Macaca mulatta: one gene and its partners. The protein of the gene in region 4 binds, or shares a complex with, the protein of the main gene of each other region. Links are inferred from orthologs where the notes say so. Each region holds a gene or a part of one and is shown on either strand. Other genes may lie near its edges.

Region 1 (2,292 bases), on a different chromosome or scaffold from region 4:
GAAATATACTTGAAAAATGTGAAAATGTGATGAGTATTAAAACTTTTTATTTTGCTTTACTTTTTAGGTTGTAGATATTTTCGGTATATTTTAAAGCAAGATCACCAAATCTTAGGGAAGAAAATTAAGCGGATGAAGAGATCTGTGAAAAAATACAGTATTGTAAATCCAAGACTCTCATACTGAATTTTAGTTATTTCACAGTAGTAGCTACACAGTAAGTAGCTCAGTAGATAGTTATTGAATGTGTTTATATAGTTATGTGTTATGTATTAAGCTTATATTACTACAAAAAACTTATTTTTATATATTTTTATATTTTTGTATTATTTATAGCTAGAGAAACAGTATTACTGCCTTTGCTCTTTGTAACTTTGTCTGTTTTCTTTTTTGTAATGTTAAATGTTACATTTGTTAAAGAATAATTCTTGAAATGACAAAATATTAGAGAATATAGTTCTACAGCAGTTATTGTTTGCAAATACTTTGCCTCTGGCTATTGTGTAATAAACTATAACTTGTGGTGCTGTGAAATGAATTTATATTCTTTTATATGCTAATTAATCAATTTTAGGTATACTACCATGAAGAAATATAGTGGTGATGAGTTCTGTTGAGGAATTTTGAAAAGAGAGAAGGATTTAGAAAACACTCTTTCTCGGCCAGGTGCGGTGGCTCACGCCTATAATCCCAGCACTTTGGGAGGCCTAGTTGGGTGGATCATGAGGTCAGGAGTTTGAGAACAGCCTGGCTAACACAGTGAAACCCTGTGTCTACTAAAAATACAAAAATTAGCTGGGCGTGGTGGCAGGCACTTGTAATCCCAGCTACTCAGGAGGCTGAGGCAGGAGAATCGATTGGGCGGAGGTTGCAGTGAGCTAAGATCGCACCACTGCACTCCTGCCTGGGCCACAGAACTAAACTCTGTCTCAAAAAGAAAAAAAAAAGAAACTCTTCTTTTTCAGTATAAAGACATGACAGTTTGGGGCAAAATAACCTCCTGCTAGAGAGAGACCTTTTGCTCTAGAGGACTAATTTGGGTTGTAGCAGTAGGGAGGGCTCGCTCTTTTCAGTTGGCATTGGCCTCACTTCAAAAGGCTCTCGGCTTTTTGGTGCCTGGCACAGCAGTCTATGATCGCGAGGTCAAGAGATTGAGACCATCCTGGCCAACATGGTGAAACCCTTTCTCTACTAAAAATACCAAAAAAAAAAATTAGTCTTGGTGGTGTGCACCTGTAGTCCTAGCTATTCAGGAGGCTGAGGCAGGAGAATTGCTTGAACCAGTGGAGGCTGCAGCGAGCTGAGATAGTGTCACTGCACTCCAGCCTGGCAACAGAGCGAGACTCCGTCTCGGAGAAAAAGAACTCATGCGTCCCCTCTCCTTTTTCTCTTGGAAACTAGGATGCAGCGGTATGTAGCTGGACAGTGGAGGAAACTCGCCAGTGGAATAGTATCCCTGAGTCACACAGTAAACCCACTGGGAAAACCTAGCCAGAAGCCAACAGCAAGTTTCCTGGTTTATGGGCTGAGCTTTATAATATGTTGGGATAATTGGTAGAATAAGTGCTTCTTCAGAAATGTCAGCTTTTACATTTACTGCTGGGATAACTAGTAATTGAGTTCCATGAAAACTCACTAACTTCAGAGCAAGTCTAATAGTTAGATGGTGAGACACACGTTTCCCATTGGCTTATATTCCTACTAATTCTAAACCATCTGCAAGAAGATTAGGGGACAAATTGTGCTTTGTGAATAGTTTATATTTCAATATTACTTCGTAAGAAAGGTCTATCAATAAAGAAGTACTTAGAAAGTACATGTAAAATGAGTAGGCATTCCACAGAGCCAAAATAAACCAAGTTTAACTTTTAACATAAATAGGGTAGCTTTACTGCTGCGAGTCCATGATTCGGTTGTGTAGGAGTTCTGTATAAGACTAATACTCTAGCAGTGAAATTCCCAAAGTATGTGGAAAACATCTGAAAGCATAGGCCAAGATCTGCTTCCTGAAACTTTTCGTCAAAAGCAATAAAATAGGATTATGATTTCTTTTGATCTCTAAGAAAATGGAGGTGAGAATAAAGAAATGAGTAGATATGTTCTTGGTTTCCATACAAAGCTGTCTCAACATTTTTACATCAAATGTTCTTATCTAATTGTTAGTGCAATTCACCTGTGAAACTTTTTTTAGGTGCACTGATGTTTAAGCTGCTTCCATGAATAACAGTAATAGCTAAAATTCATCAAGTACTTTGGGCTTTACCTTTCATTGTAAAACCACCACAGTCCTGT
Region 2 (3,249 bases), on a different chromosome or scaffold from region 4:
CGTGAACTCTGGGGTCAGGCTGCCTGGTTTACATCCCAGCTATTCTCTTTACCAGCTCTGTCATCTGGGGCAGGTGGTAGTGTGACAATGCCAGTCATCCCAACTTCGCAGGATTGTTGTGAGGATTGGATGAGTTGATAAAAGATGAATGCCTGCGCAGAGCCTGGCCCGGGGAAGGCACTCATCATGATACTGTCGTTGTGATTGTCTTCCCTTCAGAACGGGGCAGTGCATGTGACCAAGGACCTGCTGTGGGAGCCGGCGACCCCTGGGCCTCTCCCCATGCTGCCTTCCCTCATCGGTGAGAGTCTCATTCCTCTGGGCTCATTCCACACTGCTCCACCTATTCTTCCCGCAGCTCCCACTCCTGAGACCTTCCTCTCCCTGCTAAGCCTGTGCTCGCTCAGAGCCCTTGGATGCCTCCAGCCGCCCAGGGCATCTGGCTGCACTCCTGTGCCCTCCCCAGCCCTTTCCGTAACCTCCTCCTCAGATCCCTGGGACCCTGGCCTGACTGCCCGGGACCTGCTTTTCCGCGGAGGGTACCGGTATCGGAGGCGACCCCGAGTCGTGCTGGATGTTACTGAGCAGGTGAGTGGGCCCACGGGGGACAGTGCTGCGTAGCCTGGAGACTATGCTTAGTGACCTGGCCTCCTCCTCTCCCCAGATCAGCCGGTTCCTCTGGGATCATGGAGACGTAGCCTTTGCACCCCTGGGGAAGCTGATGCTGGAGAATTTCAAGCTGGAGGGAGCAGGGGTGAGTGGCCCATGACACCAGGGGTAGGGACTCCCTGCTGTCCTTCAGGGGTGAACTTGAGGGTGTGTGAGCTTGACGAGGCCTTTCCATGCAGAGCCGCACTAAGAAGACGACAGTGGTCAGTGTGAAGAAACTGCTCCAGGACCTCGGTGGACACCAGCCCTGGGGGCAAGTGGCTAATGAGAAAGGAGGAGATGGATAGACGTAGCTGGTGGTGGGGATATAGGAGGTGCTAGGACGCACATCCAGGTTTCTGTCATACCCACTTCCCACCTGCTCCATGCAGTCTGAGCTGTACTTTCTTATACCAGACTTCCAACTCCAAATCATCTCAGGGGAAAGCAGATTTAAATTTGTGGGCTTCAGGCATGGCTGCATCCAGGTGTTCAAATAATATTCGTAGAGCTGTGTCTCTCTTTACTCTGTCGTCCACTTGCCTCTTCCTGCACAGTTCCTAGACAGGCTGTCTGTAGGTAGCAGCAAGATGGCTTATGATCTAAGGAAAGAGCCAGTGTCCTTCCTGAGGCACCAGAAGTCCCAGAAAGGAGTTTGGTTGGCTTGGCTTGGGTCTCACACCCGTCTGTGAACCAGTCGCTGTGGCAAGGGCAATGGAATATTGTTGATGGCCAGGTCTGGGTCCCATGATTGCTTCCAGGGCATGGGAACAGGATGGGGTGGTTTCCCAAAGGAAGAAATTCTAGGTAAATAAGAAATGTGTCCACTGCACTTGGCCTCCTTGGGATGGGACCTGTCCTCCCCTGAGTGCCACTGAGTGATCCTCCTGCTGTTCTCTGGTCCCCAGGTGTCCCTGGGCTTACCTCAGCAACCGACAGCGCCGCTTCTCTATCCTTGGGGGCCCCATCCTGGGCACATCGGTGGCGAGCCACTTGGCAGAGCTGCTGCACGAGGAGCTGGTGCTGCGGTGGGAGCAGCTGCTTCTGGATGAGGCCTGCACTGGGGGTGCGCTGGCCTGGGTGCCTGGAAGGACACCCCAGTTCGGGCAGCTGGTCTACCCTGCTGGAGGCGCCCTGGACAGGCTGCGTATCCTTTCTTGTGAGACAGGCGATCCCAGCGGGCTCCCGTCTGGTGGAGGAGGTGCTCTTGGCATGGTCCAGGGAAGGGCAGGAATGTGGGGCTTGCAGTGGCCACAGCTCGTGCACTGATCCTTAGTGAGAGGCCCAGATTTTCAAGAGGTTGTTCTGAGCCCAGGTGACAGTCCCCAATTCCTTGGGAACCCTGGACGCATCCAGCTCCAGGGACCTGTCCGGCAGGTGGTGACATGCACTGTCCAGGGAGAAAGTAAGGCCCTTACACATGTTCCTCCCTCACTGGCTGACCTGCTGCCTGACCCCTGACCCCTGACCCTTTCCATCCCTCCTCAGCTCTGCTGGCCGTCCGCTCTGACTACCATTGTGCCGTGTGGAAGTTCGGTAAACAGTGGCAGCCAACCCTTCTGCAGGCAATGCAGGTGGAGAAGGGGGCCACAGGGATCAGCCTCAGGTGAGGGGGAGTCAGTCTGGTCAGTGAGGAGGGGCTGGGGGCAGGGGCGAGCAGCCTGATGTGAATGCGTTCCTGCCCTGTAGCCCTCACCTGCCCGGGGAGCTGGCCATCTGCAGCCGCTCAGGAGCCGTCTGCCTGTGGAGCCCTGAGGATGGGTATTGCCACTTCCCATGAAACCCCCCACCCTAACACACTGAACTCTGGCCCGTCACTCCCTGTTCAGCATGTCGCGACCCTTGATTCCCTTCCACATCAGCCTGTCCCCCCTACCCATGGCTTGCCCATCTCCCCAAGGCTGCAACAAGTCTACAAGGACCCCGAGACCCTTGTGTTCCGGGACTCCTCTTCCTGGCGTTGGGCAGACTTCACCGCCCACCCTCGGGTGCTGACTGTGGGTGACCGCACTGGAGTGAAGATGGTTGACACTCAGGTATGGGGTGGCGGCAGGAGATCTGCCCTGACTGCGGGAGCAGCCGCAGAGCAGTGAGTCCCAGGCTGGCTGCGGCCTGGGCGAGGATGGCGTCATGGGCCTGGGACTGTGGGGAGGGCTGACCCTGTGTTTCTCTTCCAGGGCCCGCCGGGCTGTGGTCTGTTGCTTTTTCGTGTGGGCGCAGAGGCTTCGTGCCAGAAAGGGGAGCGTGTCCTGCTCACCCAGTACCTGGGGCACTCCAGCTCTGAATGCCTGCCCCCTACTCTCCATCTCGTCTGTACCCAGGTGAGTGGTACACACCACCGCCCCGCCCCACCTCTGCTCTGTCTCAGATGGGCACTAGAGGCTGCTGCTTACCAGTGGCTCTGCTGGGCCCAGATAACCACCCAGCAAACCAGACTCAACCCTGGATGAATCTGTGGCCCCAGCACGCAGTGGATCCCACAGCCGGTGCTAACAGGCAGGTGGGGAAGCTCTCCCAGGGCCTCCCCTTGGTAAGGGCTTCAAGGTACAGCCAGGGGTGGAGCGGTGGGGGAGGAGCAGCCTCGGGGTGGGGCTTTCATGC
Region 3 (3,520 bases), on a different chromosome or scaffold from region 4:
TAGGAAAAACAACTAATCTGGTTTCAGTCAACCAAGACTTCAGGGACCAGACAATCCCAGATGGTCATGATGCTGCTAGTTATTTTAGAAACCATAATAAGCAAAAATCCTGCTTCCTTATACAAGTGCCAAGTTAAGGCTGGCCCACTGGTTTTCTAGAATAATTTATCTACATAAATCGTGGTTTTTTTTGTTTTTTTTTTTTTGTTTTTTGAGACAGAGTCTCACTCTGTCGCCTAGGCTGGAGTGCAATGGCACAATCTCAGCTCACTGCAACCTCCACCGCCCGTGTTCAAGCAATTCTCCTGCCTCAGCCTCCCAAGTAGCTGGGATTACAGGCGCCTGCCACCACGCCCGGCTAATTTTTGTATTTTTAGTAGAGACAGGGTTTCACCATCTTGGCTAGGCTGCTCTCGAACTCCTGACCTCAAGTGATCTGCCCGCCTCAGCCTCCCAAAGTGCTGGGATTACAAGCGTGAGCCATTGTGCCCAGCCAATCGTTTGTTTTTTGTTTATCCTGTGCAACAGAATGGGATGTGGTCTCTAGAGGAAGGAACAAGGCACTTGACAGAAAATTATGCAGCAAGAAAAGACAGCACCCTCCCCTATCCTGGCACTGTTATCCCCACAACCTTATATGTTTAAATAACAGTTTAAAGAAAAATAAAAAATAAAACAAAAACCCTTGGTATCAATCTGGCTCCTAGTGAGGCAAAGATCCACCCACTCTGGGGTGCCTGCGCCACTCAGCAAGTCCTGCTAGGCATCCTCCACTTTGGGCCTGTGAAATATTCGCAGGGAGACCACGAGACGCTCATCAACAGCGAGGAAGGGCCACTTCTGGCGAAGAGCCCTAAATCCCAATCTTGGGAAGAGCAAACATGTATCACATATAAATCCACCTCCTCCAGCGTCAAAGTTTAAAGTACCTACCTCTTCAGCACACAGGGATCAAAGGGGAAGAAGGTGTCCAGTGGGTTTGTGCAGGTCTGCACCGAGTCTCCTCCAGCGGTACTTCTAATGACTGGCAGCATCTGGCGATTATTCCTCTCAATGATGGTGTAGCAGAAGACGAGCTGGTACTTACTGTGGAACAAAAAAACAACACAGACAGAGGCATTAACACGCTGGAGTGACTGTGCAGATGTGAGCTGCGTGTGACAACTGTACCCACCACAGAGAAACCGCTGAACATAACAAGTGCTAGTGAAAATAACAATATAAAGCAGAAAGTAACACTTTTAGGGTACCATTCTCTGGGTCTTCTATTTGCAAGTTTGCTACGGAGAAAGAAAATGTGGCTATCACTCAGAATGCAAAACTGGGCTTAGATTTTACTGAGTAATAGATATTACTCATTAAAAATAACTGTTTGCAAGGCAAAACTCTTAGATTACATAACTACAGGTGTCTTCATTTTTACTGTTTGCAAAAGAAGTAGAGGGTTGGTGGAAAAGGGATTCAGGAGTTACTCCGGAGGAAATAGCGGTTGGTGAAGAGACTTGCTGAAGAAGCCCCGAACAAGAAATAAGCCTTTACTGAAGGAGGAACATGGGGTTGACTAAGTCATGACCTCAGAAACAGGCTAGACATGCAGAGTGAGAACAGTTAAATGCACAGAAGAAAGCATAAAATCAAAAAGACAATTACGTTCTTAATTTTTCTGGTAGTTGTCTCTAAATGATTGAGCAACTTGAAAAATTATTTACTGGACAGCTTCTCCAAGATGAGGACTTAGATCTCGCTTCTGTCACTCTCCACCTCAGGTTCCCAGGTCACCATGGCAACTTCAAGCCACATACTTCGATTTCTGTCCTGTTAGCCGAGGCTCACGGCACTTGACCCCTCCTCCTGGTGGAGGCCACATCAGCAAAACCACACTGGAGGGTGGTTTGCACTATCAGGTCAAGTTGAAGATCTGCATCTCCTACAACCCTGCAGCTGACCGCACTTCCGGGTGTGTGACAAGGAAGCATGTGTCCACACACAAGGACACACACACAGCAATGTTCCTGAAAACTAAAACACGAACACAGCCAGCCGGGCACGGTGGCTCACACCTGTAATCCCAGCACTTTGGGAGGCTAAGGCAGGCGGTTCACTTGAGCTCAGGAGTTTGAGACCAGCCTGGTCAACATGGTGAAACCCCATCTCTACTAAAAATACAAAAATTAGCTGGATGTGGTGGCAGGCGCCTGTAGACGCAGCTACTCGGGAGGCTGAGGCATGAGAACTGCATGAGCCTGGGAGGCGGTGCTTGTAGTGAGCTAAGATCACGCCACTGCACTCCAGTCTGGGTGACAAAGCAAGACCTTGTCTCGGGAAAAAAAAAAAAGACAAAAACTAACAAATGAAATCTCAACAAAGACTCAATAAAAAAGATTCCCAGAACATAACACAGCAGTTAAAATCAAAATAAAGCTTTGTGGCAATATGGTTCAATCTCAAAACCATCAAGCAGGCAAAAGCAACAGCCGCAGAACAGTACACACCTTTATTTACAATATCTGTACCTAGGCAGAGACCTTTATTTCATTCCCCTGCTCTCAGCCTCACATGGCAGCACACTCTGTACCTCTAATGCGCATGCCAACCCCAAATCGAGAGCCCCTGGACCAGCTGGTTCACAAATGCAGTCCTCTGTCCCCACCCCGAGAATATACTAGGGCAGCGGCCTCTGCTTGCTTCATCCGTCCTCACTCTTTGAGCTGCCCACCATCTTAACCAACGTGCTGAAGCCTCCAGCCACCCACTGCTGCTGCTTGCTGGTCTCTCGATGCCTTTTCCTAACCCTCCACTATCACTGAGATCTCAGAAGAGAGCCCACCTTGAACCAGACGCCTCGCAAAGGAGAACTAAAGAGGCTGAAGGAGCTCAGCAAGCTGCTGGCTCTTACCTGTTGAAGATTATAGGCTATGATCCGGCCTGAATATCCTCATTAAATATTCAATTCTCCAATTTGCTTTCTCCATAAAGCAGAATAACTTAGTGAAAGCTTACGAAGGAGCCAGACTACATTAAAATCTGTGCCGCCAGTCTAGCTCTATGACTTCAGGTTAAGTGATGTCACCTCTCTGTACCTCCACCTCCCCATTGATAAACAGGGTTTCATCCTACAGGGTTGAGGATCAAATGAGTTCTACGTAAAGTGCTGAGAACTGCCTGGCACAGAGGAAAGGCTATGAATTAACCATAGCTACCAGACCTGAGAGAACAGTACTCTCTAAACCAATCTCTTACTGGTCAACATTTGCCTCACGTCCAGTTTATTTCTGTTACTATTACAGGAGTCACTCTAATAAGCATCTATGGCTTTGCCCCTCTCAGCTTACTGGCTGCCTTACTTATTTCAAAGTGCCTAGGCTTCTGCTGAATTATGCCCTTTGGATAAGAAGTAGCAGCAATTTCCAATGCCATTAAAGTACAAAAACAATAGCTGTATTACAATATTTCCTGCAAGGACTGGGTTGTTTTTGTTTAAGAGACAGGGCCTCATTCTGGAGCCCAGACTGGAGTGCAG
Region 4 (3,520 bases):
TCCTGGCTCTGCCACTGAATCGCTGTGTATGGGGCCTTTGGTAAGTCATTTTACTTCTCTGGGCCTGGTCCTTATGTGAGGTGAGCCAGGTCTGTGTGGTGTTCTCCAGCTCTAAAACTGTTTTGTCTGAGGAGGACTGAGATTGGAGAAGAGGAGGCTGAGCTCTGCTTCTGGTTTTCTGTGGGAACTATGGGAAAGGAGCGCTGCCTCTCTCTGTCTGGTGCTTCTATAAGAGGCGGGTTGGGCTCAATTGCCATGAGCTCCTGGCACCTGCCAGTGCCACTCTTGTGAGCCTGCGAGGATGAAAGAAGAGATGGACATTGCGTGGCAGCCAAGAGAGGAGGTTGATGAAGAGAAAGAGACACATTGGAAAGGAGGAACAAGAGGGAGACTTTGCAGAAGTGGGGAAAGATGCAGGGAGGGAGTGAGGTGAGGGTGGGAAGGCAGTGGGGAGGCCAAAAAGGGGGTGATGAAGGGAAGGGAAGCCAAGTGGTGGGAGAGAATGAGTGGGCTGAGGGAGGGAGGGCTGGAGGGGACAGACAGCTGGGATCCTAGAGAAAGGGAAGAAGGTAATGGTGTCAGAAATAGGCGGGAAGGTGCAGGGCAGCTGGCTGTGACTTGTATTGGAAGAACTTACTCTGGGTTCCCCTCCACACAATCTCCCCTCATGCCTTGGAAATAGGACTCAGCCCAGCCCTGGCCCCATGTAGAGGCCACCTCCAAGGGGCCAGACTAATGTCAGCTGCCTCATAGACAGTGAGAAGAGGGAGCAAGGCCTGCACCCGACTCCACTGTGAGAGTTCTGTGGTATTGGAGAAACGAGTGGGGGAGCCTCAGCGCTGCCACCACGCACTGTGTGACTGTGGGTAATGCCATGGCCCCCTTCTGGGACTCTCGCTCAGAAGGAGAGAATAGGATATAGGATTCAGTGTCTGGGCAGCCCCTGCAGCTCCCACCATCTGTGGTAGAAGCCAGCAGGTCTGCTCTGTGGTGAGTCCCGCCGGGAGGCGGGCAGGGCACCAGCCTCCACTCCCTGCATCACAGCGTGGGAGGCAGAAGAGCCAGCGAGGAGGGGCCTGGGTAGCCTTCATAGCTCAGGGCAAGATACCCTTGGGTCCTGGGTGACCCTATCCCCTCCTCCCCCCAGATGAAATATATTCAGGACTTCCAGAGAGAGAAACAGGAGTTCGAGCGAAACCTGGCCCGATTCAGGTAAGGCAGTGGAGCCCAGAGGAGGGCTATGGGGAACTGGGGGCAGCAGAATAGGCTAACCCTGGCCAGAGCCTGGAGTTTGCCATCTCTGAGGCATGGAAGAGGATGGGTCACATGTGAGCCCTAGTGTGTCATGCTCAGGGGCAGGGACAGGCAGGCAGCCACTGTCCCACTAAGCCCCAGCTGAAAGGCCCAGGAGGCTTGGTGGGTGGGGCAGCTAGCTTGGGTCTGCCCTGACAGCGTCCCCTGCTGATCCTTGCTCCCCATGTCCTGGCTAGGGAGGATCACCCCGACCTAATCCAGAATGCCAAGAAATCGGACATCCCAGAGAAGCCCAAAACCCCCCAGCAGCTGTGGTACACCCACGAGAAGAAGGTGTATCTCAAAGTGCGGCCAGATGTGAGTGTCCGGCCAAGGGCTGGGGATGGAGGATGCACGGCGGTGGCCAGGGGGGAGCCGCACCAGGTCGGCCGGGCACGGTGCAGGGGAGCAGGAGAGGAGGCCCCTCCCCAGGGGTGGGCTGCATGGACAGGGCCCGGGCCAGCTGGCGTGCGAGCGTGTGCGTGCGTGCGTGTATGAGCCAGTCCCCTTGCACCTAGGCGGGATTGCCGCTCTCCGCCTTCCCCTCCTGGCCTGTGGGGGACACTGATGTGACCTCCCATGGCCTGAGGGGGCGGGGGCATCTGTGCCCCCTTCCCCCCTCCCCCTCCCCCTGCCCCTGGCTGCCTGTGCGTGTCTGACGGCTTTTGGTTTGCAGGCCACTACGAAGGAGGTGAAGGACTCCCTGGGGAAGCAGTGGTCTCAGCTCTCGGACAAAAAGAGGCTGAAATGGATTCATAAGGCCCTGGAGCAGCGGAAGGAGTACGAGGTTAGGCTTCCGCTGCGCTCCTCCCTGTCCGGCTCTTCACGAGCCTCTGCCCTCTGACTCCGTGGCCACCGCACTCTGCGGGAGGTGTCACTCCCCATCCTCTGTTGAGGGAGGGGCCTTCTGGGCCCCTCACCTCTGCCCCTACCTTCCCCACCCCCCACCCCTATGAGATCTCAGGCTAGGGCAGGGCAGGGCACCATGTCTCATGTGACACCATTGACGCGCAGCCATTCCCAGCTTTGCTCCCTGCCTGCCCTCCCCAGCGGCTCTCCCCGTGCCCCTGCCGCAGCTAACCCCACACCCCATTGCCCTCCATCCCCCCACCTGGCTCTGCAGGAGATCATGAGAGACTATATCCAGAAGCACCCAGAGCTGAACATCAGTGAGGAGGGTATCACCAAGTCCACCCTCACCAAAGCTGAACGCCAGCTCAAGGACAAGTTTGATGGGCGACCCACTAAGCCACCTCCGTGAGTGCTGCCCTGGGGTGGGTGGGCGAGTGGGCAGCTGGGAAGTTGGGCTGGGCTCTACGGGTGAGGCGGCCTGCTGTCCTGCTTGCTCACGGGCTGCGCCTCTCTCCCCATGGCTCTGATAGGAACAGCTACTCGCTGTACTGCGCAGAGCTCATGGCCAACATGAAGGACGTGCCCAGCACGGAGCGCATGGTGCTGTGCAGCCAGCAGTGGAAGCTGCTGTCCCAGAAGGAGAAGGACGCCTATCACAAGAAGTGTGACCAGGTGAGCTGTGGCAGGGGCCACCCTGCCTTGGGGTTTTGAAGCATGAGGTCTGATCCCATCTTGGGCTAGTCAGTCCCTGGTGGCGTGTGCCTTGGGTACTTGCCTCCAATTCGGTGTGGGGCTGGGCTGGGCTTAGCAACTGAGCCCATCCAGGCAGGGAGTCCAGCCCACACCCAGGCTCTGGAGGCCCACTGAAGGTCACTGTCCTCCGAGTACTGCAGGGTCTGTGGTGACACTGTCACCAGAATGATCCTGACTCCACTCACTTTCCCAGAAAAAGAAAGATTACGAGGTGGAGCTGCTCCGTTTCCTGGAGGTAAGTGTTCCTCCAGTAGGGCAGTGGGCAGAGAGGACTGGGGCTTGGCAGGCAGAGCCCTCGTGAGCCCTGTGCCCCTCTTTCCTCTCCAGAGCCTGCCTGAGGAGGAGCAGCAGCGGGTCCTGGGGGAGGAGAAGATGCTGAACATCAACAAGAAGCAGGCCACCAGCCCCGCCTCCAAGAAGCCAGCCCAGGAAGGGGGCAAGGTGGGCAGAGGGTGCGGCCGCGCAGGCGGGGGTGGGCAAGACTGGGCTCCCTGGCAGCACCACGGACCCCGACCCTCTGCACCTGGACAGGGCGGCTCCGAGAAGCCCAAGCGGCCCGTGTCGGCCATGTTCATCTTCTCGGAGGAGAAGCGGCGGCAGCTGCAGGAGGAGCGGCCTGAGC

What was found. The genes of interacting proteins can lie anywhere in the genome.
Region 1: UBTF (region 4) and TAF1A share a complex: the UniProt entries of both Homo sapiens proteins name them as parts of the pol I pre-initiation complex. The link is inferred for Macaca mulatta from reciprocal best matches to the Homo sapiens genes UBTF and TAF1A.
Region 2: UBTF (region 4) and TAF1C share a complex: the UniProt entries of both Homo sapiens proteins name them as parts of the pol I pre-initiation complex. The link is inferred for Macaca mulatta from reciprocal best matches to the Homo sapiens genes UBTF and TAF1C.
Region 3: UBTF (region 4) and RRN3 share a complex: the UniProt entries of both Homo sapiens proteins name them as parts of the pol I pre-initiation complex. The link is inferred for Macaca mulatta from reciprocal best matches to the Homo sapiens genes UBTF and RRN3.

What each region holds. Positions count from the first base shown.
Region 1 is NC_133406.1:80,401,814-80,404,105, reverse strand, and holds part of TAF1A (TATA box-binding protein-associated factor RNA polymerase I subunit A), read left to right. Parts: intron 1-67; coding exon 68-186; 3' UTR 187-217; exon of another isoform or gene 218-534; intron 535-574; exon of another isoform or gene 575-931; intron 932-2,292. UniProt on the Homo sapiens protein: Component of the transcription factor SL1/TIF-IB complex, which is involved in the assembly of the PIC (pre-initiation complex) during RNA polymerase I-dependent transcription.
Region 2 is NC_133425.1:79,548,163-79,551,411, reverse strand, and holds part of TAF1C (TATA box-binding protein-associated factor RNA polymerase I subunit C), read left to right. Parts: intron 1-219; coding exon 220-301; intron 302-490; coding exon 491-588; intron 589-664; coding exon 665-754; intron 755-848; coding exon 849-922; intron 923-1,556; coding exon 1,557-1,795; intron 1,796-1,936; coding exon 1,937-2,053; intron 2,054-2,136; coding exon 2,137-2,254; intron 2,255-2,337; coding exon 2,338-2,409; coding exon of another isoform or gene 2,410-2,548; coding exon 2,549-2,684; intron 2,685-2,825; coding exon 2,826-2,969; intron 2,970-3,249. UniProt on the Homo sapiens protein: Component of the transcription factor SL1/TIF-IB complex, which is involved in the assembly of the PIC (pre-initiation complex) during RNA polymerase I-dependent transcription.
Region 3 is NC_133425.1:15,995,295-15,998,814, reverse strand, and holds part of RRN3 (RNA polymerase I-specific transcription initiation factor RRN3), read right to left. Parts: intron 1,087-3,520; coding exon 934-1,086; exon of another isoform or gene 775-933; intron 1-774. UniProt on the Homo sapiens protein: Required for efficient transcription initiation by RNA polymerase I (Pol I). Required for the formation of the competent pre-initiation complex (PIC).
Region 4 is NC_133421.1:68,584,125-68,587,644, reverse strand, and holds part of UBTF (nucleolar transcription factor 1), read left to right. Parts: intron 1-1,147; coding exon 1,148-1,212; intron 1,213-1,490; coding exon 1,491-1,611; intron 1,612-1,969; coding exon 1,970-2,080; intron 2,081-2,416; coding exon 2,417-2,550; intron 2,551-2,675; coding exon 2,676-2,817; intron 2,818-3,091; coding exon 3,092-3,133; intron 3,134-3,225; coding exon 3,226-3,339; intron 3,340-3,429; coding exon 3,430-3,520. UniProt on the Homo sapiens protein: Recognizes the ribosomal RNA gene promoter and activates transcription mediated by RNA polymerase I (Pol I) through cooperative interactions with the transcription factor SL1/TIF-IB complex.